Rhinolophus ferrumequinum: one gene and its partners. The protein of the gene in region 2 purifies or fractionates together with the protein of the main gene of each other region. This does not show direct contact. Links are inferred from orthologs where the notes say so. Each region holds a gene or a part of one and is shown on either strand. Other genes may lie near its edges.

Region 1 (10,746 bases), on a different chromosome or scaffold from region 2:
TATATAATTAAGCATATATTTCATTAGTTGGTGCTCACTCAATATTTACTTACAATTTCCTTTATTAAAATAAAATTGACATACAATAAAATCCTCAAATTTAAACAAACATTTCCTGAGTTTTGACAAACTGTGTATTAACTCTAAACCCATAAATATATAGAACATTACCATTAACACAGAAAGTTCTCTTATATCCCTTCCCATTCAATCCTTCCCCTCCCACGCAGAAGCAACCACTGGTCTGGAGTAAAGTTGCTTTAAACATTCTGGGATAAAGTTTATTTTTGCTTTAAAAATTTTTTTTTATTAAAAAATAATACAGGTGGGCGGCCAGTGGCTTAGTTGGTTAGAGCACAGTGCTCATAACACCAAGGTCACCAGTTTGATTCCCACATGGGCCAGTGAGCTTCGCCCTCCACAACTAGATTGAAAAACGAAAAAAAAACGACGACTTGACTTGGAACTGATGGGTCCTGGAAAAAACACATTGTTCTCCAATATAAAAATAAAAATAATTTAAAAATATAATAATACAGGTGGTACGTACTCTTCCTATTTTACAGGAATGAATTGTGAGACTTAAATCTTTTCAATCCAAAGCAATTGTTTGAAACTTTTTATCATGGAAAAGTAATTAAAAGCGTATGTAACAATACAGAGATTATTTTAATGAACCCTCCTACCCAACACCCAGCTTCAGCTATTATTCACTCCTGGTCAATCTATTTTTAATCCATGCCCTTACCTACTGGACCCTCCCTCACATTACTCTAAGGCAAATCCCAGCCATCATGCTATTTCATCTGTAAATATTTAGTATATATCTGGAGATAAAAACTTTTTAAATCAAACATAATCACAGTACAATTACAACACTTAAAGTATATGTTAATATTAAAACTCCAGTCAGTATTTAAATTACCCCATGGTCTGTCCAGCTTGTTTGTTCAAATTGAGCCTCAAGTGAGATTCATATGTTTTAATTGGTTGAGGAGGCTCTTAAATTTCTTTTAATCTATAGGCAGAGCCATCTTCAAGTTGTGCAACTGGTGTATTCACGAAGGGCCCGCGCTCAGGAGCATCCCATACTTGGGGTTTAATGCTCTGCAGTTATTGTCTTGAAAGTCTTAATAATTTTGTCTTTGAATTTGTGTTTTGTTAAGTGTAGTACAGTGGGATAATAGAGCATGTGCCCTGAGCATTGGAGACTCAGCTCACATGTCGGCTTACTTCCTGGAACCTCCTCACTTTCTAGGGATGGGTCCTGGAGAGTCGCTGGTTCTACAGTCTGCTGATGCCAGCCTCCGCCTCTCCGTGCCCTCTCTCTAAATCTGGCAGCACCACTGTGCATTCCACAAGTGGCTTGATGCCCATTCCCATCAGGTCTCCAGGTACATAGCACATCCCAGGGTACTGCCAGTTTGCAGTGGGTTGGCAGGAGGACGGTGGAAGGAGATGGCTGGCTATACTTCCCCATCTTTATTAGGGCACAGCATGTTGGTCCAGCTACTCGAAGGAGGGGAACCCTAGAGCTGGTGTGTCTTGCGTGTTTCAGTACACACATCAAGTCCCAGAGCAGATCCCTGAGCACCTATGAGGGCCTGCACAGGCCCTTGCAAATGTCCTCACCTGAGGGAGCATGACGTCAAATAGCAAATGAAAAAAAAAAAACCATGAAAGGTCAAGAGACATATTGCAGAAGAAAGGAAGTAGCTTAACATTTTAATACCTTTAACAGCATCATTTTCCCGCTCTTTGTAAAAAGGACCCCACACTTTCATTTTATACGGAGCCCTGAAAATTATTTATGCAGCTAGTCCTGTCCATAGGTTCTTCTTCTCTCTCTCTCTCTCTCTCTCTCTCTCTCTCTCTCTCTCTCTCTCTCAATCTCTCTCTCCCCCTCCTTACAATTTACATGTTATTGAAGAAATTAAGTCACCCTGTAGATGCCAACTGCATCCCAGTGGAGTCATTTCACATGTCTGTCTGGCCCCTATATTTCATAAATTGGTACTTACATATGACGACTTGATTAGAATTTTGTTATGTATTTTCTTTTAATTATTTTTTATTTCTCAATTGCAGTTGGCATACAATATTATATTAGTTTTAGGTACAGCATAGTGGTTAGACATTTATATAACTTAGGAAGTGATCCCCGCATTAGTACCCACCTGGCACCATACATAGATATTACAATATTATTGACTATATTCCCTATGCTATACTTTACATCCCCATGATTATTTTGTAACTATCAGTTTGTACTACTCAATCCCTTCACCTTTTTCACCCAGCCCCCCCTAGATATTTTTAAAGAATACTTTATAATTTTTAAGAATACTTCGTAATTTTTAATGCTGTATAATTTTTAAACCTGGTAATTTTCTAACCCAGTTACTAGACATTGCTTTCAAAGCCATCCCTGAAGTCAATGCCTGAGAGTCTTAGGATTGATCAGCCTGCTGGGAATTATGGTGGTATATTCTAAAAGAGGCAAGATCCTTCCTACACCTAAGAAGAGAATGTTATTGGAAGAAAACACTCAGAATGCACTTACTTGTTTTCTAGGGGTGGTAAACACAGAGATGTACTTTCCAGATCCTTCTGCGAGCAAGGGCTTGCTGCCCAACAAAGGGCATCGTGGTCAGCTGCATCCTCCAGCTGTCAGCAGGGTCTGGCTCAGCTGCTGAGAACCACCTAACAGGTCGTGACTCTCCGGAGCAACCCACATCTGGTGACTAAGCAAAGTGGGGTTATAAAGAGGGTTGATCATTTGGCCCAACATGGGATACTCTGGCAGGCAATAATTGTTCCAGAGCTCCTGGCAGGGCTGACTGATGTTTAGTTGGTCCTGCAATGTATTTAACTTTTCCTGCCTAATACTGCTTTCTCTTCTCCCCCTTCTTTCACAAAGCCTGAGCCCTCAAGGTGCGGTGTTCAACCTTAGTTGCAGGGGGCGCTGCCCACCATCCCTTGCGGGAGTCAAGGAGTTGAACCAGCAACCTTGTGGTTGAGAGCCCACTGGCCCATGTGGGAATCGAACTGGCAGCCTTCGGAGTCAGGAGCATGGAGCTCCAACCGCCTGAGCCACCGAGCCGGCCCACTCTTATCTGTCGTTTTACAAATGACACCACTATTCACTAAGTCCTGATCTTGACAATTTCCTTACCTCCTGTATTTTCTATTGCTATGTTAATAAGCGATTCCCAAATCATAGTAGTTTAAAACAATAAACATTTATGATCTCACAGTTTCTATGGGTTAGGAATTCAAGAGGGTTTATCTAGGTGGAAATTGGAAGAGTAAGGAACATGTTCTGCCCCCAGAGCTTCTGGAGGGAGCACAGACACTTTGATTCTAGTCCAGTGACAATGATTTCAGACTTCTGGCCTCCAGCATTGAAAGAAAATGCATTTCCGATGTTTTAAGCTACAAAGTTTGTGCTAATTTGGTATAGCAACTATGGGAAATTAATACAGAAGGTGGAGTATGTATAAAAGGTGAAGAAGCAGTGAAGAGAAGAATGGTCTGTTCTCAGGAGGTATATAGAGTTGAGAAGAGCTCCAACTTTAGTTCCAAATTGCTCCATAAATAAATAAGATAATGGAGTACAGCTGAGCCTTTTGTCTATAAAAGAGAATGTGAGGATAAAGTCAGCAAAAATTTATGGATGGTGTTGGAAACTTGTGCTTTACTACACAACGTAAAATGTTTTTAGGAGTTTCTTTATAATTTCTTATTCTAAGAGTGTTTGAGCACAATTTCATTTATGATACACACAATGTTACAAAGGACCATGAAATACTACCTCAAGAATGCCCAACACGAAAGAAGAGTTAAAAGGCTAAAATCCTTAAGACCCAGTTTCCCACTTTAACTATACCGAGCCAGTCAAGCCAAACACAATTTTGAAGGCCAATAAAGCAAAATCTTTCTAAAATGCTTGGAAAGAGTCTATAAATTCTGGGGTTCTGTGGAGCAAACAGAACCAAATTCCTGCAGGTAAATCTTGGCTCCACCCTCTACTTACATCCAGCCGACTCAGAGCTTATAGTAACCAGGACTATTCAGAAAACAAAAAATTATTTTAATGATCAAACATTTGTTTAATCAGCAGTGATTTAAAACAAAGAGTTGGATGAATGTCAGAGTTGAATAAGTTCATCGAGCCATGTAAGGCTGAAGCATTTATCTGCCCATAGTCTATGTAGACAGTATCTTTCTGAAGTACACCAGGTATTCTCAACAGCTGATCACATTTGGTCAGGCTGTCAAATTTCTCCTCTTTGCTTTGCTTTTCAATTCCACCTAGATCTCTGTTAACTCATTCTTAAGACTGGTTCCAGCATAATTGTACAGCTTTCTTAACTTTAATGAGCCACCTTATTGGATTTTCCAAATCTCTTCAACTACCTCCTTACAGAAATTTTATAGGGTAAGGCTGCTTATATAGATAGCATAAATCAATCATATTTCTGTTTCCTAGGATTGACTCTTGCCACTCCCCATTCATCATATGCTGAAGTTTATCTAGCATTACAGAAGGTTAGAGAGATTAAGGCGTTGACCTTCGGGTGGGTCTGATCAGAACTCTCTTTTCCAGGCCTCCAGGCAAGGGCTTTGCCCTTCTTTGTGCAACCACTGGCCCCTGAGCTCCAATAGGAAACAGCCCCGCAGCCTAGCTCTTCCCCTACCGCAGTCGTCGTTCTGCGGTACTAAGGCGCTTACAGCGCTTACGTAACAGGGATTTTGTAAATTGAATGAACCAGTGTATGTAAATGCTTTAGCATTAGTCCTGGCACAGAGAAAGCACTCAATGAATGTTAATTATAATGAATGTAACGCGCCATCACGCACGACTCGATTTGCACGGCTTGGGAAACAGTTCAGATGTCTTTTTTTTTGCAAATGGTGAAACTATTAAAATTCAATGTTTTTGATTGAGGAAATGGGCGAACACGGAGGGCAAAAATGTGATTTTAAGTTTTACCTGAGGGGTATTCGTCTGTGGGTCACTCAACTGTAAGAGGGAGAATTCACATTCCTGCAGCAGGATGATGGCTTTAGGACATTTGACTGTAGGAGAGAGCGACTCCGAAACCAAGCGCCTGCCTCCCTGGGTGACTGTCACTTCCCTCTCACCCCGCAGAGCTTCCGCCGCCTCTTGCAGAATTCCTCCGCAAGAAAGTGGCCGCAGCTAAAACCTAGATAAGTCGCCTGGTAGTTGTGACGTCATCACCAAGCGCCCGGGTTAGAAAAGGGAATTGGGGGCGGAGATTGGCTCCCCAAGGCCTTAGAAGGCCTCTACCCATGATCCTCTCCTCTTCACCATCTTTCCTTCTTTCCGGCAGCCGTAGCCATGAAGTAAGCGGGAGCCCGGCATCCTAATCCGCTTCCATCTTCGGGCAGAACCCCTCTCGGGCGTCCTGGGTATGGCTTCTCATCGTAGACAACCCCTCCTAATGGGCGTTCGCTTTTCGTTACAGGGTCGAGCTGTGCAGTTTCAGTGGGTACAAGATCTACCCCGGACACGGGAGGCGCTACGCCAGGACCGACGGGAAGGTGAAAGGCCGCGTCGGCTAAACGCGTTTTCTACTTTTAAGAGGAAAGACGGGTCTAATTTGGTCTAGGCGGTGTCATTTAACACATCGTTTCGTGGTCCCTGAAAGGCTTGCTTTGGGGACCCTGTGTGTAGTGGTTGTAAGGATCAGAAACCTCTAAGTGAGCCATTCTTGATCTTTGATCTAGTGTGAGTCAGGTCGAAAATTAGTAGGAGTTTGTGTAACTAATGTCCCGGAGTGAGGGAAATGGGCCACCGAGGTATCTGGGCACCCACCAGGTCCTCTTGGAATCCCGGAAGGAACAGGAACTAGCTGCCTCCCAGAATTTGACCCTCCCCTGCGACATGAGTTTAGCTCTGTCTGTTCTTGAGAAAAGACAGGACCAAATGCAAAGATCTTGGAGGTGCTACACAGTTAACTGCCAGTTGTGTGACACAAACTATTGGGTCTCTGGGCCTCGATTTTGTAAAAAGCACAGGATAAAACTGGAATATTAATTAGCTAAGGATTTCAAGCTCAGCCTTTTCTATTTTGTATAGTTGAGTAGGTAACTTATATATTTTGAACTTGTCACAACAGGTTTTCCAATTTCTTAATGCAAAATGTGAGTCGGCATTCCTTTCCAAGAGGAATCCTCGACAGATAAACTGGACTGTTCTCTATAGAAGAAAGCACAAAAAAGGACAGTCGGTAAGTAAAATGCACTTTGATGTGGGGCTCTCTCTTAATTTGTTTAAATGCTGACCTTCAGTTGCTGCTCTGTAAAATTGTAACTAAATGAGAGGGTATGTGAATGTGCTCCTAAACTGCAAAGCTTCAGTGAAGTGAAAATGATTGATATTAACAGTGCCTCCTTATACATCTTATTAGGCTTACGGTAAATACCAAGTTGAAATTTGAAAGTGTCCCTTTGTCCAAGTCAGATAAATTAACATAAAGCTCACTTGGGTTACAGGGCACCATGGAAGTGTTTAAGGTGTTACAGTGGGTGGAAACTAAGTAGTTATGGGAACTTGGTTTTGATTATTATGTGTATCGGATTAGTCCTAACACAGATAATCGGTAGAATCTTCCAGCATACTAGTACTCAAGAAGACTGGGTTTGTTTTTGAAGTGCTCTTTTTACTTGACAGAAATTTACGACAAAAAGTTAAGTGCTAAGGCAATAGGGTTAGTATCCAGGAGGCTTGCTGAAGTGTTTAGACTCATGGGTGAAAGACATTACTAGGTATTGTGGGCGTTCAGAGGAAGGAGAAATTTATTTCTAAACTAATTTAAAAGTGGGTTTGACACATCCAATAGGATAGCCATTATCAAAAAAGGGAAATTACAAATGTTGGTGAGGACGTGGAGAAATTGGAACCCTTGTGCATTGTAGCGTTTTAAGATGGTACAGGCACTGTGGAAAAGAGGTTAGCAGTTTCTGAGAAAGTTAAACAGAATTATTGTATGACCCAGCAATTCCATTTCTAAGTACATAACCTAAGAGAATTTTAAGCAGGAACTTACACAGATAATTTGTACACTGATGTTCGTAACACTATTATTCACAATCACCAAAAGGTGGAAACAATCCAAGTGTCCCATCAGTGGAAGAGTGGATAAGAAAATGTGGTATATAAATGGAATGTTTTTCAGTTTTAAAAAGCTGACAGCCAGACAGCTAGCATGGATGAACCTTTTAGATACTAAGTGAAATAAGCCAGACACAAAAGAGCAAACATTGTATGATTCCACTTTTATGAAGTACCTAAAGCAGGCAAATTCATAAGACAAAAAGAGATTACCGGGGTGAGGTGAGGGAAGAAGGAATGGGGAGCTATTATTTAATGGATGCAGAGTTTGGGATGTTGAAAATGTTCTGGAGATGGATAGTGGTGGTGGTTGCACATAATTGTGGGTGTGTTCAATGCCATTGAATTATAAACTTAAAAATGCTTTAAATGGGCTAGTTAATGTTACGTATATTTTACCACGATAAAAAATATTTTAAAAATGGATTTGAGAGAAGGAAAAATATAAACAAGTAAAAGGAGCATTTTAGTTAACCACAAATGTGCCCTATTTTCTCTATATAGTCTGTTTAAAATTTTAAAGATATTTGGCATTATCCCTGCTTTAGAAAACAGTTCTTCACATACATTTTAATTTTTCTTGGACTAAGCAGTGTGCTGCAAGGTCTTTTTTCTCAGAAGCACTGTAGTGTAGGTTTCCAGTATAAAATCTGCAGCAAATGGTTGGATTGTACTGTCTTGATTCCCTGACGCTTGGTGGCTTTCCTGTCACCAGCGTAGAAAATACGTGATTTTCTAACTTGACTATTTCTACCAGTGATCATACTTTGAGTAAAAACAAAACAAGTGAGTTGAGGTTTGATCTTTTTTTCCCAAAAGTAACTTCTTTAAATGGTCTTACTAAAATCACTTTTAAAGTACTAGCCAATTAACTTCCTCAGAGTTTAACTTTCTGTCTCTTTAAAGTAGTAAAAAATGGCCAGGATTTACAATAGATGGCTTAACCAATCCATAATACAAAGGCCAAGAGAGGGTTCCCCTGTCCCCATATGTGATGATTTAGCTATAGCAGGAAGAGGGTTTTCACCTGACAGTGCTGGTACCCTGACTTCCACCCTCCAGAACATGAGAAATAAATGTCCATTGTTTGTATGCTTCTCAGTCTGGTATTTTGTTACAGCAGCGCAAATGGACTAGGACAAATATTAATCGTAAAAGACTTCACATCCCCTGCCTTAAAAACTTACTCATTTCTCCCCCAAATTCATGAAGCAAGGTTCATAAGTGTGCTCCCTATTTTTTTGTTTTGTAGGAAGAAATTCAAAAGAAAAGAACCCGCCGAGCAGTCAAATTCCAGAGGGCCATCACTGGTGCGTCTCTTGCTGATATAATGGCCAAGAGAAATCAGAAACCTGAAGTTAGGAAGGCTCAGCGAGAACAAGCTATCAGGTGAGGGAGCCTTCATTGTCAGCATTATTTAGGTTTAATATCAAGTTTATGACATAGTCTAAATGATTTGAAATTTCTATATGCAGTTAAAACTATGCAATTTCTATGTTATGCTGACTTGGTGGTTAATGACATTTGGTGACAAACCCTTTGGATTTATCCTAAAAATTGGAGATGGGAAAGGAATATGATAATTCCATTTTTCCAAACACTCTAGCTCCTTGTTAATAAGCTGTACCCTTAAGGAGTAAAGTGCTTTACCTTAAGTTATTTTTAATCCTACAGGGCTGCCAAGGAAGCAAAAAAGGCTAAGCAAGCATCTAAAAAGACAGCAATGGCTGCTGCTAAGGTAATTGTGGGATTGTCTTGGATTTCATATTTAGAACAACAGGAAAGGGGTTTTTTTAAATCCAAATTGTGGTAAATGAAAGTTTCAAGTTTTTAAAGAATTTGGTGCAGGGCTCTAATGGAAATAATGTTCATAGCTGGTTTCTGGGTGTTTTGTTTCTTAAAGTTTATTTTGAAATAATTTGTTGTCTCCTTAGCTCATCCAGTCTATGACAGTATCTTTGTCTTTCATTTATATTTCATAGAAAGGTGGACTTTTAACTTTGGGGGAGGGTTCTTAAGAGTAATATTGGGAATGCCATTAAATAGGAAAGCAATCTAGGGTACATGCAGAATTTGGACATACGGGAGGGTAATCGGTTAAAGAAGAAAGTTGCATGGGAAAATACCACATAATGTGTTATCTTTTTACAGGCTCCCACAAAGGCAGCACCTAAGCAAAAGATTGTGAAGCCTGTGAAGGTTTCTGCTCCCCGAGTTGGTGGAAAACGCTAAGTTGGCAGATGAAAATGTTAAATAAAGATCTGACTATAACTAGATTGTGGCAGAATTTTGTAAAAGAGTTCCTTTCTCTGGAGTAAGACCTCCCTAATGTAAGCCTCTTAGTTGGAGAGATGTTAAGCAAAATGATGTCAACAAGCTCTGTATGGTTAAATGCAAGCTTTGCTTATCTGAGATGTAAGGGCATGTTACACAGACTACACTGTCTTAACTTTTTGGTTATAGCTGTAAGTACTAGGGTGCCATGTAGATTTAGTCTAGGTTGATTGCTAAAGAGGCACTTTTCCCTATAACTTGTGTCCGCAGAAAGTAAACCTTTTTAATGAATTATTTTCTTAAGTTATCCTTTTCCTTCAGTAGACACATTTATATTATATTGGATTTGCCTTTGTTCGCTGGTATCTCAATCTCTTATTAGCTAATAGCTGAGTTATAAGTGCTTAAAACTATCAGCTATATTAATCTGCTCTTGATTTCAGATTAAGTTGACGTGAAGAGCACAACTTCTTGAGTAGAATGTACTTAAAAATTCCCAAAGCAGTTTGTTGAACTTGGCGTTTGGCAGCGCTGTAGTTGAAATTGTAAACATGTCTGAGTCGCCTGCTGATGTTCAAGAGGCATATATATATATAATGTGATACGGAAAATAGTAGTCATAATTTGTTAAAAATAGGCTTGGCTTCTACAGAAAGTAGGTCATTGCTACATGCAAGGATACAACAGCGAACAAGCCACATCCTCTTGAGAAACATGCTTTTTCACATACAGGAATACTAGGTGAAGGCAAAACAGACATCAACTCTTCCTCCCACCTCTGTTCTATCCAAGGTGATGAAATTGATTATTCTTTATAGTGCTTGTTAAATTCAGGCATTGTTTTAGGTGTTGATAGTAACAAATCAATGAAACAGACCCTTTGGGGAAACTTAAGTTAAACAGATGTGTAAAATCAACATAGATATGCAAGACGTATTGATTAGTTTTTGCTTAGACTTATTACGATTTTGCTTGAAAAAATCATCATTGTGGTAATGTTTTCTTTATGAAAATACGGGGGGCCGCCTGATGGCTCAGTTGGTTAGAGCGTGAGCTCTGAAAAACAAGGTTGCTGGTTCGATTCCCACATGGGCCAGTGGGCTGCACCCCCCCCCTTACCACCTCCTGCAACTAGATTGAAGGACAACGACTTGGAGCTGATGGACCCTGGAGAAACACACTGTTTCCCCCAAAAAAAGAAATGAAAATAAGATTATTTGTGAACAAGGAAAGGTTAAAACCAATCAAAATACCCACTGTGAGTACAGAGCTACAGGTTCCACTTTTTGGAGACAATAAAAATGTCCCCTTAAAGCACTGCTTTTCTGGTC
Region 2 (10,843 bases):
GACTCCTGGTGACCCTGTGAGTGAGTGACGTCCACAATGTCCCGTCCTCACTGCCCTCCTCAGATCCTGCAGACCTCTGCCTGTGGCTTCTTTTATGGACTCCGCCCATCTCATATTCGGTCTTCCTCTTTTCCTACTACCTTCTATTTTCCAGCATTATTGTCTTTTCCAAAGAACCCTGCCTTCTCTGATGTGTCCAAAGTAGGACAGTTTCAGTTTTGTCACTTTTGCCGCCACCCATGTTTATACAGCAAAAAACACTTAACAGATGTAAACCCTTGTTGGCCATACTGGCTTCGATCTCTTGCTGCCTTAAAAAACATAATGAAAGCTGTTATCTACTGAGCCTTTTCTATGTGTCAGGCACTATTCTAAGTGCTTTAAATGTATTAACTCACTTGATCCTCACAACACTTTGGGAGGTACTGTGAGCATTCTCATTTTCAGATGAGGAAGCAGAAATAAAGAAACTTGCTCTGGGTTACACAAAGAAGGATATGGTAGATGCTGCACTATTTATTAATCACTGTGACATTACTATGGACACTACAGAGGCAGCTGAATTTCTCCCCCTTCCTCACCGCTTAAAGTTGACGTGCATCCTTCCCTTATCATTTCCCAGAGGCCTTTGTGTATCTGCTGTACACTTAAGTGCCTATAAACAACCTACAGCACTCTACTAACGCACAGTAAACATTCAATAAATATTAGCCATTGTTAGGTACTGGGTTGTTTTGAAACACTGGATTATCAAATTTATCAATGTTCTTTACGGGTAGAGAGTTTTCTATCTTTTTAAAATCTTTTTCTATCCCCCATTTATAAACACATACACCCATATTTTCTTCTAAGCTACAAAGGCCACCAGGGAGGAGGGAGCCACAACGTGGGGACTGCCTACCCAAATCTATCCTTCTTCTCTGCTGGCGGAGACTGGCCCTTGCCCCAGTGTTCAGTTTCTCCTGGGCTTAGAGTAAGTGGACTACTCCCAATCCCTCTGTCTGCGTGCGTGCGTGACGGAGGCTTCTGGGAAAGAAACGTGGGAGAGGACGTGCAGCCTTTTCTTGAGATTAGATGCTGGTGTGTAAGAAGGTGATGCCTGGGGTGCAATGGCCACCTGGCAACCGCACAGAGGACTAGTACAGATATGCTGCAGATGGCAGAGCAGATGGATCCATGAAACCTGAGTCCTCCATGATCACAAACTGAATGGCTGAAGAAACAATCCCGGAAGTCACCTCTCCCACACACACTTGTCATGTGAGAGGATAACCCCATTATTGTCTGCGATATTTGTAGTAAACTCTCTATTACACGAAGCCAAAAGCATTCTAAGAAACACCCAGGTGGTTGGAATAGACAGATTATGGAGTTTGAGAAAGACACAAGATAGAAAGGTGTTTGGATTTTATCTAACTGCAACAGAGAACCACTGGAGGGTTCTAAATAAGGGCAGGATAGTACAATCTGATTTATACTTTAAAAAGGTACTCTGGCCTGTGTGGAGAATGGACTGTGGGTAAAATTTCATCACTGTCACTATGCGTAATTGTGTATGCTTTTGGAATACATTCATTTCATCTCTCAGTCCTTCTCTATCTACAGAAGGCCATTCCCTTCATCTTGAGTTCAAAAGAAATATATAGTGTATTTCCATCAAAGTTTGGTTTTTGTCCTGTTCTTTCTCCCTTTGCATGTTTGCATCTCATAATTTATATTCTTAAACTTTCTATGATGTGAAAAATCACGGAAGACTTTCTGACAATGGTAGAACTCTTGGGTTGTTTTCCTATAGTGTCATCTTTCTTTTCATGACAATTCTATCTCCTGTGTAGCTATGTTACTTCATCTGACCGCTCTGAGTTTTAGTTTAGAATATAAAATACACCCTTCAATATCTTTAGATTTCTTTTTAAACAGAAGGCTTAAAGAGCTGTTCTGCCTCCCTTCCATCGCAAAGAACCACGGGGAAAGAAGCACAAGAGAAGTTTAACTTGGTTTATAAACACAGAGTGAAGTGCGCTCCAGTAAATTACAGGCTGCCTTCCAGACTCCCTTCCTTCTTCACTTATTTTTTTTAACCTTTACTCGGAGATGATTTTAAAGGATCAAGCCATCTTTAGATTCTTGGCCTAAAGATCTTACATGAATGGAAGTCTCATCATGGGCCAAGCACTTTGTGTCGACTGTCTCACTGAATCACAACCTACTAAGTGGATGCCAATAGTATTCCCATTGTACAGATGGGGCAATTGAGGTCAGGGCTAGGACTAGAGTGAAGGGAGGTGTCCTAAGGTGCCTGGCCTGCCATACCCTAGTCATGACTCTAACTGGGACACACACAACTTAAGTAACTTGCTCCTTATACAACATTGTCTGTCCCTAGCTGGACAAATAAAGGATACTCAGCCCACGTTTTCCCATCCTGGAACAATTCTAATCTATGACAACGTGGATTGGGGCTTGGAATCAGAAGGCTGAATTCAAGGAGCCATGTATTTGAGTCAGTTTTCCTACCCATTCAATGTTAAAATAATGTCTCAAAGAAACGAGAGGACCAGATCTATTTCCTCAGATGCAAAAGAACCTAGACAACGCAAAAGCTCTCTTGCTATGTAAGCTGTCATTATTATTGTATTATTATTGTGAAGCTGCGAGACTGCCAGGAGAGCCCTGTGAAAAGGGGAGGCAAAAATTCATCAGGAGTCCCGCTGACATGGTTGTCTGAGTGTCAGTGTGTTTGGGGGAAAAGGTGATAAGGAGATGACGTGGGCAACGGCTGCTCCTGGGGAGGGGATCCATTTAGCGTGAACTCAACCACTGATCAAGCCTCTGCTTAGCCTGGCCACGTTTCTTCCTTCACTCCCACACCAGCCTTCATTTTATTCCTTGAAGTCAGGCCACAGAACTGCCTATTCTGTCACCTGAATATTCCAACACCCTTCCCACTTCAGGACTTTCGCTCTTGCTGTTCCCTTTTCCGGGGACGCCTTCCCCCCAGATCCCTGTCTGGGTCTTTCTCATAATCTCGATTTCAGTTCGCACGTTCTTCTCTTCAAGAGGACGTCTCTGATGACTGTCTAAAACAGCTTAACTCCTCCTCTGGGTCATTCCTTGTACCATTACCCTATTTCTTTTTTGCGCTTTTCGCTCTCTTCAAGTGTCTCATTTATGGGTTTCCTCGTTTAAGGCCTGTCTCTCCCACTGCAAGGCAAGCTCTGTGAAAGCGGGGCCCTTACGGACTTGTTCGTGTGTCCGCGGTGCCTGGCACATAGCAAACATGTCAATATTTGCTGCTGTTCTACAAATTCTTGAAGACTTTCCAGACTTCAGAGGGATGTTGGGCCACTTGAATGTCTTCCTGGCGGACGAATGGGGTACTGGGAAGGCTGTCGTGAGAAGACTGGGGAAGCTTGGGAAGGGCAAGCAGAAGTCCAAACTCCCAGGAGCGGCGGAGGGGCGCGAGGGGGGAGAGATGGGGGTATGGGGAGGAAGCAGGGGGGGGGGGGGGCTCACCTGCCGAATGGCCGCCAGCGTGTTTTCGGGCGCGTCGTGGCTGCCGCCGCGGTGGGCGATGGCGGCAACGCGGTCCCGGGGCTTGAGCACCTGCAGGGCCCTGCGGGGGGGCACAGGCTCAAAGCTGAAGAGACGGAGCAGAAGGTAGAGGCTGCCGGTGAAGAGGCAGGCATTGAAGGGGCTACGTGTCACCAGCAGAAACAGCAGCAGCAGGAAGGAGAAAGGGCCCAGGAGGCCCCCCTGTTCCTCCCACAGCCACATGCCGGCGCCCGCACCGGCACGGACGGGAGTCCCGGACCCGCCGGGCTCCTGGGACAGGAGAACGAGAAGCGAGGGCGAGAGCCCAAGGCACTCGCCGCAGGGGACACCCTTCAAAGGGACTAGCGCCTCACAATGGCGGCGGCGGCGGCCACATCCCTGGAAGGGGCTGGGAGTCCAGCCAATCAGGGCCCGGGATCTGCGAGGACGGGGGCGGAGCCACTGCCATGGCAACGGAGGCGGCCCCAGGCCCCAGGCCCCAGGCCCCAGGCCCCAGGCCCCAGGCCCCAGGCCCCAGGCCCCAGGCCCCAGGCCCCAGGCCCCAGGCCCCAGGCCCCAGGCCCCAGGCCCCAGGCCCCAGGCCCCAGGCCCCAGGCCCCAGGCCCCAGGCCCCAGGCCCGCATTCCAAAAGTCCAAAAGTGGCTTTTGGGTTACTCTGGGATCTGGACTTCAACCTGAGCTTTCAGACTCCGGAAGGGGAGGGATACGAGAGCTGTTGTATAGTCGTAGGACTGGATGGGATCTTAGTGACTCCTTCAGTCTGCCTTCGAGGACACCGCCCAGCAGTGAACAGGATCTACAGGGTTCCTACTCTTGCGGGGCTTACGTAATCGTGGGGGAAAATAATTGTGTTCGGGGGTACAGCTAACATTCATAGAGCACCTACCATGTCCCAGGTTCTGTGCCAGCGAACGCTTCAGTGGGTAGGTATTATCTTCACAACAGCCTCAGTGGGTAGGTATTATCTCAGGAGACTGAATTCAGTTGATTTTTAGGAGGGTTTTTCAGACTGAGGGAACGAAAGGGCATAGCAAAATGAGCGAAAACCAGATTATAAAGCTGGAAGGCATTTGAATGATTCCCTCCTTGTGCAAATGAGGAAACTGAGGCCAGGAGAGGTGAAGCGAATTGAGCCATTAATGGCAGAGTTAAGACTGACTCAAGCCACCCCAGTTTTAGGCCAGTGACTTTTCCACTGCTACTTCTCCTCCTAACCTTACGTCCTGCCAAGGGCTGGTCATGGGGCTTACGAGCCAGTTATTGGGCGAGAATTATCTGCTGCTCCTCATAACCACCCTTGTGACAGTCACTTTTAAAACTCTCATTTTACATATGCAAAAATAGGCACGGGAAGGAGCGTCAATAAGAGAGGCAGAGCGTAAAGTCAAGTTACAAAATGAAAGGTGTCACTATATCATTTGTAACGGTAGAGGCGCTAGCTCGCAGTGAAGACTACGTTTCCCGGCGCGCACCGCGCTTCCCGTAAGTACCACGCCCTTCATCACTGGCCTAGGAGCCTTACCCAGGCGCGCAATGCACCTCGGGGACTGTAGTTTTCTGGTGGCCCAACGGTTTCAACGGCCCGGGAAGCAACCACCGGAAGTGCCCACCCTGAGAGGTGGAGTCTGGGCGGCGGCGGCGGTTGCCAGGAGCCCGCGTTGCCGCCTGAGACCCGTAATATGGCGGGGAGGAGGAGGAGGCGGCGGCGGTGGACCGAGCTGCTCTCTGTCAGTACCAGTTGAGCCATTTGCTTCCTGACAAGGCCTGTGGTGAGGGGAGGAAAGCTGACCCAGCCGTAGGAGATCAGGTGTGTGCGTGAGGAGGGGCTTTGACTCCGAGGGTCCCGCCACCGGGCGAGGCGGACCTGGCGCCCTGAGGAGCTGAGGGCGGGCTCCGTACGGAACCCGAGCGCCAATGCTGGGCTCCCGGGCCTCGAGCCCCTGGAAAGGCGCCGGTGTGGGGAGGCGGGGGCCCCGGTGCCCGTGGCACCCAGCGCGGAGGTGATGCTCGGATGGTGGCACCACCGCCTGGTGGGCCCTAGGGATGGAGCCTTATCCAAGGAGCTGGGGGAGGTGGATGTGGGGCGCTGGCGTGAGGGTCCCGGGTACATAAACTCCGGCCCGAGCCTGTCTCCTTTTGATAAAACTGGGCCTATTTAAATCACCGGGCCACGAGGCTGGCGAGGGAGGCGTCCCCAGGGTGTGTACTGGCCATTTCTGCACGCGGGTTACCACAACCGGAGGCCCTCGGAGCGCTGTTTACTCTGCCTTCGCGACTCTCTGGGGGCAGAAGCATGAGGATAATAAAGCAAATTATCTTGATTGCCTCTCATGCTGCTACGTGGTTCCCAATCTTTGCTTCTCTCTGGTTTTGATCCAAGTTCCCTACCCCCCGCGTTGAGGCAAATGACAGGTGCTAGAGATTGATTCAATGGGAAGGGGTCTGGAAAAATAAGAAATGAGGACGCTGTTGTCCCCCTTTCCATGTTTTACAGTTAAGTTTGAATCTTACCAGGAACCACGCACTGTTCACTGCCCTCCAGGAGTTCATAATTTAGTGATAAGCCACCATCATCATCATTATCACCATCATCATCTGCATAATAAAAGCAGCCCCCCCCCTTTTATTGATGCTTTCTGCATGTCCTGCAGTATACTAATTGCCATCCGTGTGTTAGTTTCTTGAATCCTCACAGGATCTCTTTGAGACAGATGAGATTATCCCTATTTTACAGATGAGGAGACTGAGGCATAGAGATGGTAAGTGAATTGCCAAGAACTTACAGCGAGTGTGTGCCTGGATAAGAAACCTTCCCCTGTATGGCCTCTGCAAGAGGTTTATGTCTTTGGGAGGACGGATGGGTAACCAACCATCTAGAATCTCTAAACAAGGCAAGATCTGTTCTGTGTTACTTTTACCATTCCCTTCAGTGATGTGACTCGTAAAGCACTGGTGAGGAACAGGGCGCAGGCGCAGGGCCATGAGTCGAAGGGGTTTGCAAAGAGGCTTACTTGGAGAAGGGTCATGGTATAAATGGGAAAGACGAGGCATGTCTGAACTTGATGCAGCTGACAAATTATTAATGCACGTGAGCCGGTAATGCCTGATGGTCAAGTATGGGGCAGTAGATTTGTGGTTGGTGTGGCCGTGTAGTCAGGGCTCCCTAAAAATAAAATCCTGCTGACAGAGGTGATTGTATTGTGAGAAAGGCGGCTCCCTCTTGCTCAATCGTGCAGGCTATGGATGCTCACTTTGTAAGTGGCTGCCTTTGCAGTTCAGAGGTGCCAGTTTCTGTGAGAATAGGGTCATCCATGAAACTACCACTCTTCCTTGCTAGCTGCCTTGCTATCTAGTCGATCGCTGTTCATCTTTTTCCTGGTTTGCATTATTCTTTGAGCTAACTACCCTGATGTATTTGTTCAATACTTTTATCAAGTGCTACTGAGTGCTGGCGCTGTTCCTGTGTCATGGGGATTCAGTGGTGAGCAAGAGTGAGAAAGCACCTGTGCTTATGGAGCTCGTGTTTCACTGGAGAAAGGCAGACAAAAACCAAGGCAACAAACAAGATAATTTCAGATAGTGGTAAGTGCTGTGGAAATTGGTAAGAAGCAGTATAATGTGGTCGTGACTGATGCAGGGTTAATTTAGATGGGGGACCAACAAGCTGAGGCTGAAGGATAAGAAGGATCCAGTCATGCTCTTCTAGGATCATTTGGTAATTTCCATAGTCAGCATATTAGCACTTGTATTTGGATATTTCATGCAATAGCAGATGCCACAAGTTATGCTGAAATAATAATAAATTACGGTCCACCTGCAGTATGTATGACATACATGTACTGTTTAAGGGATATGAATTTAACTTTCTGAAGCAATGAGGCATATCTATGTGACATTGTTGAAAGAAAACTGAAACTATTGTAAAGATACTTTGTTTCCTTAAATTTCCCAGACCTTTAAAATAGAATTTCATTCTTTGTTTGTGTAGCCATAGGAAGTCTATTAACATTAATTGTATGAGTAATCTATTTATGTGCCGTAAAATGCTGGATGCATGGATTGTGGTAAAAAATATTTGGAAGTATTTTAATCAAAATGGGGTCGTTTGAATTTCTCTTACGTCTTAGCTTCTGCATATTGTGATTGTTAAGATAATCGTAATCATAATGTAGGTTGGACTCTAGACTGAAAATGGAGGCCTTGCTATGGTGACATTTCTGTGAATTAAACGCTCACTTTGCATAATTTGAATATGGAAATATTTAGAATTGATGGGATGGTAGGAAGAAGTTATTAAGACTACCAGTTGGTCAATCTAATCATAATTTTCATATGCTTTTTCTTCATTTCTAATTGTATTATAATTTGTCCCTGGCACTTCAGTGTACTGAATTTTTAAGTACCTGGAGGCTTAGGACAGTATCATATTCTCTCTTATTTCATCTTTGCATATCCTACATCATGAATTGAATCTCCCTGCCCTCTGTCTTTTGTTAATTAATTAATTGTTTTAAAATGAACACTGAAAGATACATTACTGTATTAGTTTTTCTGTCCTCACAGTTCATTCCCTTGTTGGTTATGAGTCTGATGATGACTCCCTTTTTATTTTCCCTTGCTTATTTAAAGGAAACAATGCCAGACATAATGCTATGGAAACAGGCAATCAAATATTTAATGCTTGCTAGCTGAATGAATATGGTGGCTAATCCTTCCTGGTTCCCTTGTATTTTCATAGCCACCATTACACTTTTCCAGAAATTGTGAAGTTACAGGGTTGATTGTTTTAAGTAGTTTGGCAATGGTTTCAATTTTCAATGATCAACTAGAATTATTATGAGAGCCTATAGATTTTCTGTTTTCCACTGCTGACTGATTTGGCCAGTGACCATGGAGTCATACTATGTTTTTTAGATATGCAAGTAATAGACTTTGAACTCCATGACAGAAAAAGAATTTTAAAAAATAAATATGCTCTTTTATTTAAATAACCCTTTTGTCTTTTTTTTTTTTTGTAGAAAAGCATTTCTACCTTTCTATAATTTAGTTTTTCTTGTGCTGTGTAGATAAGTCCTGCTTAAGAAAATGTATTCTATTTTGTAATCTAAAGTTAGGAAAGTGGTATAGAACTTTGTGTTTTTAAAGTAGAGTTCATTGGTGAGTGAGTTCTTAGTACTTTTCTAAACTAATCACATTCAAAGATTGATTTACATGCAAGTGTTCAAAAATGTTTACTATCTGGAAGCAAGCTTCAACTGGGGAGGATCGTGACCTATGTTTTACCTTAGACTCAAGATTTAGCTCCTGATCAGTGAAAAAATTCTGGGAGGGCCAGTTCTAGGAGTCGTGAATTCTAGGAATATTTCAGTGCTCTATACAATTGGCCAAATAATTAAGATGTATTTTACTCAGCACATTCAAAATGACATTCTTCTCTTTTGTAGTGTGGTCGTGGGAAGATGGAGGAATATGAGAAGTTCTGTGAGAAGAGTCTTGCCAGAATCCAAGAAGCATCACTGTCCACTGAGAGCTTTTTACCTGTCCAGTCTGAAAGCATCTCACTTATTCGCTTCCATGGAGTGGCTGTGCTTTCTCCACTGGTAAACGCTCTTTGATTTTTACATAACCTTGTTTTCTATAGTGGCCCACAAAGGCAGTTCATAGAAAAACAAAAGAAAGAGTTATGAACATCAGAAAGATGCCTAACTTATTCATAATTAAAAAAATAGAAATGAGTTGGGTGTTTTTTTTAGCTTTTTTTTTTTTGCCTACTAGATTTGCAAAGATCTGATAAGATCTGTGGGGAAAAGGCACTTATGATACACTTTTGCTGAGAGAATAAGTTAATTTTATTTTTTGGTGAGCAATATGGTAGTGTTTATCAGAATTTAAAAGTATACATAATCTTTGATTCAGCAATTCCATTTTGGGGGAATATCTTACAGTTATACTCATCTATATGACCAAAGAAATCTTCGTAAGGTTATAGAAGCGTTGTTTAAAATAGAAAAAGATTGAACAACCTAAGTATCTATCAGTAGTGGACTAGTTTAACTGGTCCGTTTTATAGAAGAATCTCATCCATGCCATTCAAGTGAATACAGTACACCTAAGATATGGGCCTGGAAGAATATCCACAAGCTACTATAAGTCACTGCACAACGCATGCTCTCGGGGGCAGGGAAGAGCCGTGGTTTGAAGCCCAGCTCTGCTACCTTCTGGCCTGGGTTCAAATCACTGCTCTGCCACTTACCTGCTCTGTGAACTTGCAAGTCCATTTTCTTTATTTGTTAAATGACAATAAAAATAATGCCTGCCTCACAGAGCTGTTTTGAGGATTAAATAAACTAATCCATTTAACATGTATAGAACCACTTAGATCATAAGAGATAATCAATCTGTGTTAACTATTTGGGTTTTTAAATAAGGATCTTGCACTCCTTCTCTGGGGAGGGGTAAAGGAATATAGGATGAGAAGGAAGACATACTTTTTATCACATACCCTTCGATATGGATTGAATATTTTTTATATGTATGTGACTTTATTTCAGATCAGAAAATTAATATGATTGAAAGTGAGTTAATTTTTTCTTATATAACAGGAGTTAAAAGATAAGTAATTTTTGCCAACTTTTTATAATTACATTTCCAAACATGCATAAACGTTGAGAGGTACCATGACCACCCATATATCTACTAGTTAGATTCAACCGTTTTTTAACATTTTTGCTTTATTGTGTTTGTGATTTTATATATGTATATGTGTGTGTATATATTTGCCTACTCTTTTTGTTTTATTGCTGAGCCATTTGAAAATTGCAGAGGCATGACATGTCTCCCCTGAATATTTTGGTATACATATTATAAAAATAAGGATATTTTCTTACATAAAACCCTAATACCATGATCACACCTTTAGAAAATGAATAATAATTTTAATAGCATCTAATATTCCATTGATACTCAAATTTCTCAATTTGTGCTCAAAATATCTTTTATAACTTCTTTTTTGTAATTTGGGTCCAGTCAAAATTGACAAATAGCATTTGCTTATTATGATTTTTTTAATCTTTCTTGATCTGGAACAGTGCCTCTACCTCTTAAAAATTGTGTGTTTTGTTTTTATAATAGTGAGTTTTTAAAGAGACCAGACCGGTTATCCTGTAGAGTGCCTTCCATTGGATTTCTCTAATTGTTTCCTTCAGTGATAATTTAACTTGTACTCTAGTCCCTATAGTTCCTATAAACTTTGATTAGAGTCAGGTTACATATTTTGGGCAAGAATTCT
Region 3 (10,717 bases), about 11 Mb from region 2:
TGATGAATTTTCCACTCGCTCATGGTGTACTATTCCTTTAATGCACTTCTGGATTCTATGTGTTATCAAGGACTTTTATGTCTTCAGTGAGAATGGGTTTTAGTGTTTCTAAAGCTATCATTGTCAGATTTTGGTATCACTGGTATGCTAACCTGCTTTTTAAATATTGGAGGTTTTCTATCTTTATGGATCAGAATGATCTGTTGCTTGTAGTTGAGAACAACTCACCCATTCGAGTTATTTGCACTTGCACTGCTTTGAGGTGTCTTTGACAGCTTTCCCAATTTCTTCACAATTTATTTGAAGAAATATTTAGACTTTTAGAAAACTCCCTTCCTTTACTAAGTTGGTGATATCTATTTTCCTAAATAATCAACCTACACAGGCAGGTTGATAAATTTGTATTTGCAGAGACTTATAAAAAGCGGTTAAGTTTCTATGCATCATTAGTTATTCTTAATTAATCTGTCACTCTGTTGGCTCCCTTTTTGTGTTGACTCAATGTACTAGTGAATTATTTATTTTAGGAATTTTATTTCCCTACTTAGCAGTCCTTCTTTTCCCTTTTCTAATTCAAACTTTCTGCTATAAAACCATGTGTTGCTAAGAAATTTAGAGTTAAGAAAACTTATTACAGAAACAATTCTTTCAATGGAAAAGTGTTGTCGTAGACTGGAGGTCATCACATGTATCGTAACAACGGTCCTTTTCTTGCCAGAATCTCAACCGTGGTATTTTAGAAATACCTGTGAACATGTAGCTACATAAACTGAGTATTTGATCATATGTAGCTTTTACTTAGGAGGTACCGCTTTTCTTTCCTGTCATGCGAATGATAGTTTTGAAGTATCATTTGCATCCTTAATATCCCTAATAGTGGTTGCTAGCGATGCTAGTGACCATAAGAAGTTCTTACAGCTGTGTAACTGCACAGAGCTAGTTTCCTGAACCAGTTTATCCAGTGATGGTCTGTGTAATAAAAAACAAAAATCACCCATATACATAATTGATTTTTAATTTATGTGGGTTTCTAAATTGTAATTTAATAGTGAAAGGGTTTAGGATTATGATTTTACTCTTGTCAACATAATTTTTTAAAAATAGACTTTAGTTTTTAGAGCAGTTTTAGGTTCACAGAAGAATTGAGGGGAAGGGACAGAGGTTTTCCATATACCCCTCGCCACCTGATATGCACAGCCTGTCCTATGATCAACATCCTGCACCAGAGCGGTGCATTTGTTACAATCCGTTGTGACATGGACACATCACTATTCCCCAACGTTTATAGCTTACAATAGGGTTCACTACTAGTGTTGTACATTCAGTGGGTTTTGACAAACATGTACTGATATGTATCCATTATAGTATCATACACAATAGTTTCACTGCCCTAAAACTCCCACGCTCTACTTTATCCTTCCCTCCCCAACAACCCTTGGCAACTACTGATTCTTTCACTGTCTCCATAGTTTTGCCTTTTCTAGAATGTCTTATCATTGAAACCATACAGTGGATAGCCTTTTCAGACTGGCTTCTTTCACTTAGTAACATGCATTTAAGTTTCTTCCATGTCTTTTCATGGCTCATTTCTTTTTAGCGTTGAATAATATTTCATTGTCTAGATATACCAGTTTATTTATCCTTTCGCCTATTGAAGGACATCTTGGTGGCTTCCAAGTTTTTGGCAATTATGAATAAAGCAGTTATAAACATCCATGTACAGGTTTTCATGTGGACATTATTTTTGGGACTCGGGCCAAGGCTTCTAGAAGCAATAAACTCAGGGCATGTCTCTTATCTGTGGTAAGAGACAGAACTCCACGGCTGCCATGCAGACGTAAGTCCTCTGGTTGGATAGAATATCTGGTTTTAGTTCCTAGCCTAGGGAACCAACATAATGTAAACCGACTGGCAGCCGACTGATATTTTATTGGAATTTTATTTCCAGGGGTGGGAAACGTTTAATAAGTAAAGTACTGTAATTACTCAACCCCTAAGATAACTTCCCAAAACCATACCAATAGGAAGTGGGCTACAACAGCACTGCAGCTCAGAAGGGCAATCGCCTCCAATTCCCTTCTCGTGAAGGGCTGTGAAAGATGGCAGATACAACCAGTCTCCCTCTTCCAATGTATGTTGGATGACTTGGGTGGTCATATTCTCATTTTTGAGCCCCAAGTACCAGACCCCAGGGAGTCAAATCTAGACCAGGACCAGAGGAATGCACATCACCCAGAGCCTACCCTTGATCTAGATGCAGAATCCGTCCAAACCTAGATCTTCTTTTGGAGAGGGAGCAAGTGTGTTTTATGTTGTTCATAGATGGTTTATTATATTAGGCAGAGAAGTTTTTAAATGTTATATACAGGATTTCTTTTCTTCTGGGCAGCAAAGGAGATAGGTTTCCCTCCCTTCTGCTGGTAATAGAAATCTTTGTATGTGTACATGTGTGTGGGGGGTAATCATTTCATATGGTTCAGACCCCTTCTCCCCATTTTCCTGGCTCTTCTCCCACACGCCACCAAGCGAAGCCAGAGTCTTCTTGGGAGTTTTGCTGGAAGGAGACATATTTTCTCTGGTATTTTTTATATAAGCCTAGAGCTCCTGTTTAGAGACTGCTTGACAAGAGGACACAGAGGAAAGTAAAATTGAGAGACAAACCCTGATTCCCTGATTACATTATTTGAACACTTGGACAGCTGTTTCTATAGGTTATTCCATTTTAGACTTCCAGTTATGTGAGCAATAAATCCTTCATCTGTTGTTTTTGTTTTTGTTTTGTTTGGGCTTAAGCTAGGTTGAGTTGGACTTCTGTTACTTTGTAAATGACAATTCCTGTCTGGTAGATCAATTTAATTTCATGACTTGGACTACGCTGGTAGCAGAGATAAGGAAAGAAGTGAAATTCACATAACATACAATTGGCCATTTTAAAGTGTGCGATTCAGTGATACTTACTGTATTCACAATGCTGTTCCTTTAGATTCTTATGTGCAACATCAGAGATGCTTTAACTAGAGAAAAAATATTTTTCTTTCCTCAACGGAAAAATGTTTTTCTGGAAATGAAAATATTATTGTAGTAGTATCTAAAAATTAAAGCATATATTACGCTTGGGAAATAAAGAGTGAAAAGGAACTTGCTGCTATATAAAGTATTTTTCTTTCCTCTGATTTTTTCTACTCCTGAGACATGCCCCATCAAGTCGCCTTTCTCTCTCCAGCAGGGTCACTCTGGACCCTCTAAAAAGCCCCCTCAGCTCGTCCTTTGCCAGGTAGTTCTCTCCCTCCCTTCTCAGCCAAGCTCTGGGAAAGTGGTATCTAAAGTCCCTAACCACATTTCCTACCTCCTATTGCCACTCACCCAAAATTACAGCATCGTCACATCCTTGGCTGCCACACCCACTAGTTTCTCCCTTTTTCCATGTGACTGTTCAGTGACATTTCACAATATCCCCTGCAGCCTTCTGATGAAAGCCCCTCCCGTGGCCTCTCCCCATTGCATTTGGCTCTGTCCCTCTGTGGCCCCTTCTCTGTCTTGTCTGAAGGCTCCTCTTTTCTTTCTGAATGGAGGGGTTCTTCAGGCTCCCAGTCTACTTCACGTTCCTTACTCTATCCTCTGCCCCCGACACCCCTGAATTCCTTTCACATTCACCCCCAGGCCTTCAGCTACCATCTTGTTCCAGCTAGGATCTTCCCTGAGCTCCCAAGTCTAGATTTTTCCAGTGACTTCTCCCACCTTCCTGAAGCCCAGTGGGAAACGGGCCCCTTATCACCCCGCTGGGTCAGAGGGGCTTTTACTGCCAGGGCAGTGGGTGGGGGCTAGAGAAGGTATAGCTGCAACATAGCCACGAGAACACCTGTTTCCTGAAAAATAAGAAAACTTTACCTCTGAATAAATAAGAGTGATAAGGGAGGACATAAAGAACAAGTCAACCGAGTGAGTGACCAGGGATGTTGTTTTGAACTCCTTGACGTTGTATCACAGGGGAGTTAGAGTGGTGAATGACAACGGACTTGCTGACTGGTGAATCCAGTGTACTAGTGCCACCAAGCTGCTCCCAAAATCTAACACTGAAAAGAGTGCACTCTTCTGCCTTGGGGGAGACCTGTAATGAAGCAAGAGGGCAGGGGAAGAAGACAACAAATTGGGAAACAGTTACCAATGGAAACAGGTATGAGGAAGGATGAGAAATCGGAGGGGTCTTCCATGGATTTCTTCCAGTCCTTTTGTGTGGGAATGTGGGACATCTAGGGAGCAGGCCCCAAGCATGCTCAGCTCTATTCACTCAGCTTCCTGTACAAATCCCCTACCCCCTCCACCACCCCCAACTTCCAGGGCCTTAGTCCCTTGTCATTTGGGGACCACTGAGACTCTCACATCCTGCGTTGTGATCATCCACCTCCTCAGTTCTCCACCTCTTGCTCCAGACTGGCATGGAGCATTGGCACCATGGGGTTCAGTGAGTACAGAGGAGAGATGAAGGGAGCGGGGTTTGAGCCATAACCCAGATTCCCTCGCTTCTCCAGGAAAAGCCACTCTGTCCTCCCTCAACACTTCTCCCAGGAGATTCCATTTCTTTCATTGTCAAAATGTCTCACGTAAGAGGTGGGATGTGAGCTGGTTCCTGAAAAACAGGCGGCGTAGTCATTGCCTGATATCTCTGAATGAACAGAATGCTCAGCAGCAGCCCGTAAAGCAAACAGGCGCGCAGTTCTCTTTTAGGAAGAGCTCCCAGGTGGCATTGAGGAGGAGATATTGGGGACAGACTTGGGAAGATAGCTGGTGAAATGAGAGGGTTAGGGCTTGCCCCGGGGCAGAGACGATGTAAGAGTCCTGAGTAAGCCACGTTCCTCGGGACGACCGGGCAAAATGTGATGGCTGAATCAAAGAAGATTTCGAGCCCAGGTCTCAAACTCCACTTTCTACAATTACAATCTATGCAAACAGTGGTTGGCCCGGAACAAGGGGTCTCCTCGCTTGAAGCACGGATAGGATGCAGGGCGTGCGGCCTCCGAGTGAGGGCCGAAAGTCAGGGGCCGCCTTGGTGTCCCTGACCTACGGTACTTGTGGGTGTCCAGTTGCGCCGCGCCCTCCGCAAGACGCCGCACCCGGAGGCGCGGCCGGTACGACAGACCTTCACTGACAAGCCACTGCGCGCCGTGGCTTCCGATGTTAGGGACCTCTGACGCCGAGTCAACAGGCAAGGCCCAAGCCCAGAATAGCCCGAGCCCAGGCGGACCTTCTCGGACTAAAGAGGCCCCAACCCCGGAGCCTGAGCCGCGCTCCTCCAAGACCCCCGACCCCGGTTTGGAAGGCGGGGCATCCCCGTGGTATCCACCAATCAAAGACCGGTGTTCGAATTCGCGTCCTGGCGCGGCCAATAGCGTGAGCCCCGAGCCGGTGGTTAGGGCGGGGCAGTGGGCGGGGCCTGCTGGACCCGCGGCGTGCGCCCCCCCAGACCGGCCAATGGGAGCTTCGGGCGCGTTTGAAAACTAGGGCGGGCGGTGGGGCGGCTCTGCGCTTGCGTGGGGCGGCGCGCGCAGGGCCCGCGGGCGCCTTAAGCGGCTTAGTCGGCGGCGACTGAGGCTGAAGTGGCGGCGCGGGAGGAAATGGGGAGCGGCGGCGGTGAGCGCGGGGCGCGGGAGGCGGCGGGAGGGCGACCCGAGACTGCGCAGGTCGGCTCCAGCCCTTAGGCCCGGGATGCGGGGGATCTCGGTGGCGCCCGCCCGGCGCGCGGTTTAAATGCCCGTCGACGCCGCGTGAAAGCCCCGCGAGGGACCCGGCACCTGTCGTGGGCTGTGAGCGCAGTGGTTAGGTTTCGTGTCTGTCCTAGAGCAAGGGAATAAGGACAGCGTTGCGGTAAAATTCGTGGAATCTGTGGGAACTGGTCGCTCTGTAGGTCTGGCTTTCGCAGCACGTTAACTGAGGGTACGAAGACCCAGGTGAAGAGCAGGGAGTGGGGGGAGGAAAGTACTGAGGGGGGAGTCATATTTGGAGGAGAGCAACCCCCTCCTGTAGGGACCGGAGGGAGGAGCGGGTGCAAAACCAGGTAAACTGTAGGTGAGGGTCTGGGGAGCTTCAAGGTCCTCTGCTTAGAATGTGGAAGGAGCTGCTGAAGTTGAAAAGACCCCTGCGGGGACAGAGGACCCAGGGCAGCTCCAACCACCGCAGAGCTGGGAATGGCTTGGCCTTCAAGTTCAGCCTTTGCTTCCCTGCAGGGCTGACCCTCCTAGTTAAGTGGAAAACCAGATTGTTCAAGTCCACAGTTCCCGTCGAACTTTATGCGTTTTTGTCATGTTTGCAAAGTGGAAGAAAAATCACTTCCACTTTGGGTTTTAGGGGGCTTCACTGAGTGTGAAATGCCAGGAGAACCTCATCAGTGTTGGCTGCTTTTTCCCTTTCCTAGTTGTCATCGGGGCTCTGGATAAGAAAGTTTCCCAATAGCAAATTACATGATTCTCTGCTATTCACCATAAATATTTACTGAATATTTGAATGAATGATGATGTCTTCTGTAATCCTTATACTACTACTCCTTTATTTCATCTTTGTTGGGGACTAGAAATATGGCTGGTTCCTTTTGTGGGGCAAAGGAGAGTAACTGTTAAACCATCTTCAGGTATAACTTTTCATATCAGTACAATTCCTTTCCAACAGATCCCTTAGACCATTCTGATTTTTTTTCTTAAGTGATCCACTGTAGGTGTGCCAAGTGTTTCTGTTATCCTACAAAACGAAGAATAAGAAGGAGACCCCGAAACCTAACCATCTTGAGTCTCCCTGAAGATGTGCTCTTTCATATCCTGAAATGGCTTTCTGTTGGGGACATTCTTGCTGTTCGAGCTGTAAGTTGTCAGATGAAAAGTGTGTCCTATTTTCATCAGTCCTAGCATTGTGGTCATACCATCATCAAGACTTCATGTTCTTAAATGTCAGAACAGCGCTTTACCTACAAAAAAGAGCCAAGAAACAAGGATGATACTGTTAATAGATGCTTGAGGTTGTTCTGATTGTAGGAAAGCTAAAATGTAGCACACCCATTGTAATGTTTAACAGAAAGTACCCTTTTATGGCAGTGAAATTTGTATCCCTTAAGAAATAGCATTATACCTAAAACTAATATAATACTGTGTCTCAACTGTAAATGAAAAAGAAATTTAAAAATTTTTTTAAAGAAATAGGATGGTATTAAAAAGAATCAAAGTATACTCTTGAGGACAAATTCCATGTAACATTCCACACTGAAAGGGACTCTGGGAGGTATTTTACAGATATCAGAGCTGCAGCCTCACTTTGACTTAACTGAGGGCGTATAGTGATTAGTGAGAAAACAAGAACCCACTTCTCCAACTCGGAAAGCTGCCTCCATTTTGGTCATAATATCCATGGGTGCTGAATTTTCAGTGGCGGTGGGAACGTTAGCATTTAAAATGCTCACCTGTGGTCAGGGCTCCCGCCCAGGGCAGAGGCTCCAGGTCCTACCTGAAGCTTCCATCACGCATGCCCGTCTTTTCTGAGAGCCCCTGTGGACCTCCAGGCTCCATCCTTGCTCCCACTAGCAAGGCCCCAGCCAGAGGAACGGGAAACAGATTCCTGTCATACCTGTTCCGTTAGAGTTGGTTTCCTTGAACGTATATACCCTAAGAGAGGTGTCATCCCCTCTTTCTCAGCTTAGGGACTATTCTCCCTTCCAGAACCACTGTCCCCACCTTTAGAGCCACAAAGAAACTTGTTTCTGGGCTCTTTATTCAAATCAACTGTTACTTTGAGACAGAGACTGGGGGCCTTTACTACTGGGGTGGGTAAGGGAACAGGAGACCCTATATCTGTCTACGTCTTGTCTTCAAGAGATCTAGGAATTGGGCTTCTGAGAGGTCCCTTGATAATCTCCCCACTCACCCCACTTCTGTTCTGCAGGTGCACTCCCACCTGAAGTACCTGGTAGACAACCATGCCAGCGTGTGGGCATGTGCCAGCTTCCAGGAGTTGTGGCCTTCTCCAAGGAACCTGAAGTTCTTTGAAAGGTATCTCTGCACCCTGAGAACAGCTTGGTTCTGTCCCGTCTTTGGGCCTCCCTGATATGCCAGCCTGTGTCCCAACGGCTGACCTGGGAACGATTTTCCCCTTATGTAGCCCCCACCAATCCCTTATCCCAACTGGGAAGCAACTGAGGGCTGTGGACCTCACCCATCGAGTCACACGACTTCCAGCACAGTCATCAGTCACCCACACACCGGCACGGACCTGACTCATTAGTCACAGCCGTGCTTCTGAAGGGTCCCATGTGGGCTGTAGCCCATTCTGCATGACTCAAACGCAGGTCACCTTCACGTGGAAACTTTACTCAGCTCTTTTCTTTCGGTCAAAATCCTGTGATTTAAATCCCATTGCAGATCCCACCCCTTGGCTGATCCCACCCCCTGCTAGAATTGGGACCTAAAGGGAGGGCCAAAGGGGACATGAGCCTCAAGGCCCATGAGCCCGAGTATGCCAGCAACTAGACCCACCGTCCAAGTGTGCCAGTGGTCCCAGGCAGGCTACCTGAGACGTCATCCACAAACTATACAGTTCACCCATTTTAAATGTGCAACTCGATGGTTTTTAATATGTGCAGAGTTATGCAGCCATCAATACTAATTAACTTTAGAACATTCTCATTACCCCAAAATGAACTCTACCCATTAGCAGTCACTCCCTCTTTTTCCTGCAACCCCCCAAACCTTTGGCAACCACTAACCTGCTTCCTATGTCTGGATTTGTTTGTTCTGGACATTTCATATAAGGAATCGTACAACATAGGGCCTTGTGTGCTAGCTTCTTTCACTTAGCATGTTTTCAAGGTTCATCCATGTTGTAGCATGTCATGGATAAATGATATGTAGCTGCATTGCCTGGAAAAGTTTCTGTTCAGAAAACAAGTAGCTTCAATTGCTGAGATGGAACATAACCTTTATGGAATGAAATTGTGAGATGTTTTATGTTCTTAATGTTCTAGGGCTGCTGAAAGGGGAAATTTTGAAGCTGCTGTGAAGCTGGGCATCGCCTACCTCTATAATGAAGGCTGTAAGTCCTGGCAAGGCTGGAGCTGGCCTCACCCCACTTGGTATTAACATTGTAGAACAAGCAGGAGCCCTTCCCAGTGTTTGTAATTTAGTCGCTGTGTCTGGCGGTCTGCCTTACTGTCTCCTCCAGAGGGCTTGTGCCTAGAGCCGCCCTGTTAAGGAACCCATCGATGAACTGTGATTTTGTAGGTGGAGAGAGTCACCTCTTATTTTAATAAACCCTTTCATTGCAGTAGGCAAAGAATGACTGAGCAGAGACTCAGAATGGGGCTACTCGGGCCGGCAGCCTTCCCCCACCTGCCTGCTCTCTGTCCAATTAACACAGCAGCCCATGTGTAGGCTCTGGTTTCTCGCCTCTGCCACAGCTCCTCTGCAGAACGTGGGAGCGCAAAGCGTGCCTGATTCCACGGAGTGTCAAAACACAGGTAGCCAAGGCTCCAAGCCGGAGGCAGGTACAAGCAGTTCAAAGGCGGCTTGGTGCCTGAATTTCTTCACCCCCAGGGGGCAGGCGCTCCTTGAAAGAATCTCGTGTGGCTTTCTTCCAATTCCTGCCTATCTGCTTAGCACACCAAAAAACTAGCCTGCGGTCTGTCCTGTCCCAGTTCCCAAAACGCATAAAGGCTTGGCTAGAGCCATTATTCCGCTTCTGAAAAATCGGGTGTCTTGCTGAGAGCGAGCCCCTGCATGTGGTCAGTTGCCACGACTGTTGTGACGTGACTGGTAGAGACCATGAGCATTCCTCCTCGGCTCAGGACAGCAGCAGTCCTGCCCCCACCCTTCCGCAGACATAACTCACACACGTACAACTCGCCATCTAAAGTACACAACCCTGTGGTTTTCAGTATATTCATGAAGTTAGGCAGCCATCACCACTGTCTGATTTTGGAAATTCTCATTGCCTCAAAAAGAAACACCGTACCTGTTAGAAGGGAGGGCGGCAGCAGTACCCAGAAGTGGGGAGGATTGAGGGCCCCTTCCCAACCTTAAAAATCCAGGCTGCTGCGAAGACCGTGGCAGGGGCATGTGATTCACAAAGTAGGGAAAGAAAAGGGAGGAGCCCCTGTCCTAGAGGATTGGTCTCTCCTAAAACACCTGCAGCTTTGCACTGCAGTGGGCTTAAGGTTATAGGATTTTACAAAAGACTGTGGAGAACTTTCCGCATTTGTCCTCCAGAGACATCCCTGGGTTCCGTTCTGTCCATCTCCACAGTGTCTGTGTCTGATGAGGCCCGTGCAGAAGTGAACGGCCTAAAGGCTTCTCGCTTCTTCAGTCTCGCCGAGCGACTAAATGTCAACGCTGCGCCTTTCATCTGGCTCTTCATCCGCCCGCCGTGGTCAGTGTCTGGAAGCTGCTGCAAGGCCGTGGTACATGAGAGTCTCAGGGCAGAGTGCCAGCTGCAAAGAGTGAGTCCTGGCTAGGGGCACATGTAGGGCAAGCCGAGCTGCGCAATCTAAGCCCCATAGAGTCACCGGAAGTGAGGAAGCTTTGAGGGGAGACACCGGACCATGTAAGGTCAGGGATCAGAGGGCAGTGGAGGCACAGAAAATCAAGAGTGGATGTGGGAGTGTCTAGAAGCGACCCTGCAGGAGAGGAGGCCTCAGAGCCAGAGGCCAGGGGGATCAGATGAGAGGCTTGACTGCAGGCATATGGAC

The links.
Region 1: the proteins of CCP110 (region 2) and CEP97 purify together in Homo sapiens (co-immunoprecipitation; 10 studies listed by BioGRID and IntAct, with this or other methods). This does not show direct contact. The link is inferred for Rhinolophus ferrumequinum from reciprocal best matches to the Homo sapiens genes CCP110 and CEP97.
Region 3: the proteins of CCP110 (region 2) and CCNF purify together in Homo sapiens (affinity purification with western blotting; 7 studies listed by BioGRID and IntAct, with this or other methods). This does not show direct contact. The link is inferred for Rhinolophus ferrumequinum from reciprocal best matches to the Homo sapiens genes CCP110 and CCNF.

What each region holds. Positions count from the first base shown.
Region 1 is NC_046285.1:30,663,209-30,673,954, reverse strand, and holds the start of CEP97 (centrosomal protein of 97 kDa), read right to left. Parts: upstream 5,181-10,746; 5' UTR 4,997-5,180; intron 2,745-4,996; 5' UTR 2,564-2,744; intron 1-2,563. Other genes in the region: RPL24 (60S ribosomal protein L24), read left to right, coding at 5,366-5,370, 5,493-5,568, 6,147-6,257, 8,394-8,530, 8,816-8,879, 9,293-9,373. UniProt on the Homo sapiens protein: Acts as a key negative regulator of ciliogenesis in collaboration with CCP110 by capping the mother centriole thereby preventing cilia formation. Required for recruitment of CCP110 to the centrosome.
Region 2 is NW_022680357.1:15,413,823-15,424,665, forward strand, and holds the start of CCP110 (centriolar coiled-coil protein of 110 kDa), read left to right. Parts: upstream 1-5,133; 5' UTR 5,134-5,362; intron 5,363-6,232; 5' UTR 6,233-6,314; intron 6,315-6,991; 5' UTR 6,992-7,137; intron 7,138-8,999; 5' UTR 9,000-9,014; coding exon 9,015-9,155; intron 9,156-10,843. Other genes in the region: GDE1 (glycerophosphodiester phosphodiesterase 1), read right to left, coding at 3,517-3,777.
Region 3 is NW_022680357.1:4,050,549-4,061,265, forward strand, and holds the start of CCNF (cyclin-F), read left to right. Parts: upstream 1-5,537; 5' UTR 5,538-5,612; coding exon 5,613-5,628; intron 5,629-6,693; coding exon 6,694-6,848; intron 6,849-7,920; coding exon 7,921-8,027; intron 8,028-8,998; coding exon 8,999-9,066; intron 9,067-10,274; coding exon 10,275-10,468; intron 10,469-10,717. UniProt on the Homo sapiens protein: Substrate recognition component of a SCF (SKP1-CUL1-F-box protein) E3 ubiquitin-protein ligase complex which mediates the ubiquitination and subsequent proteasomal degradation of target proteins.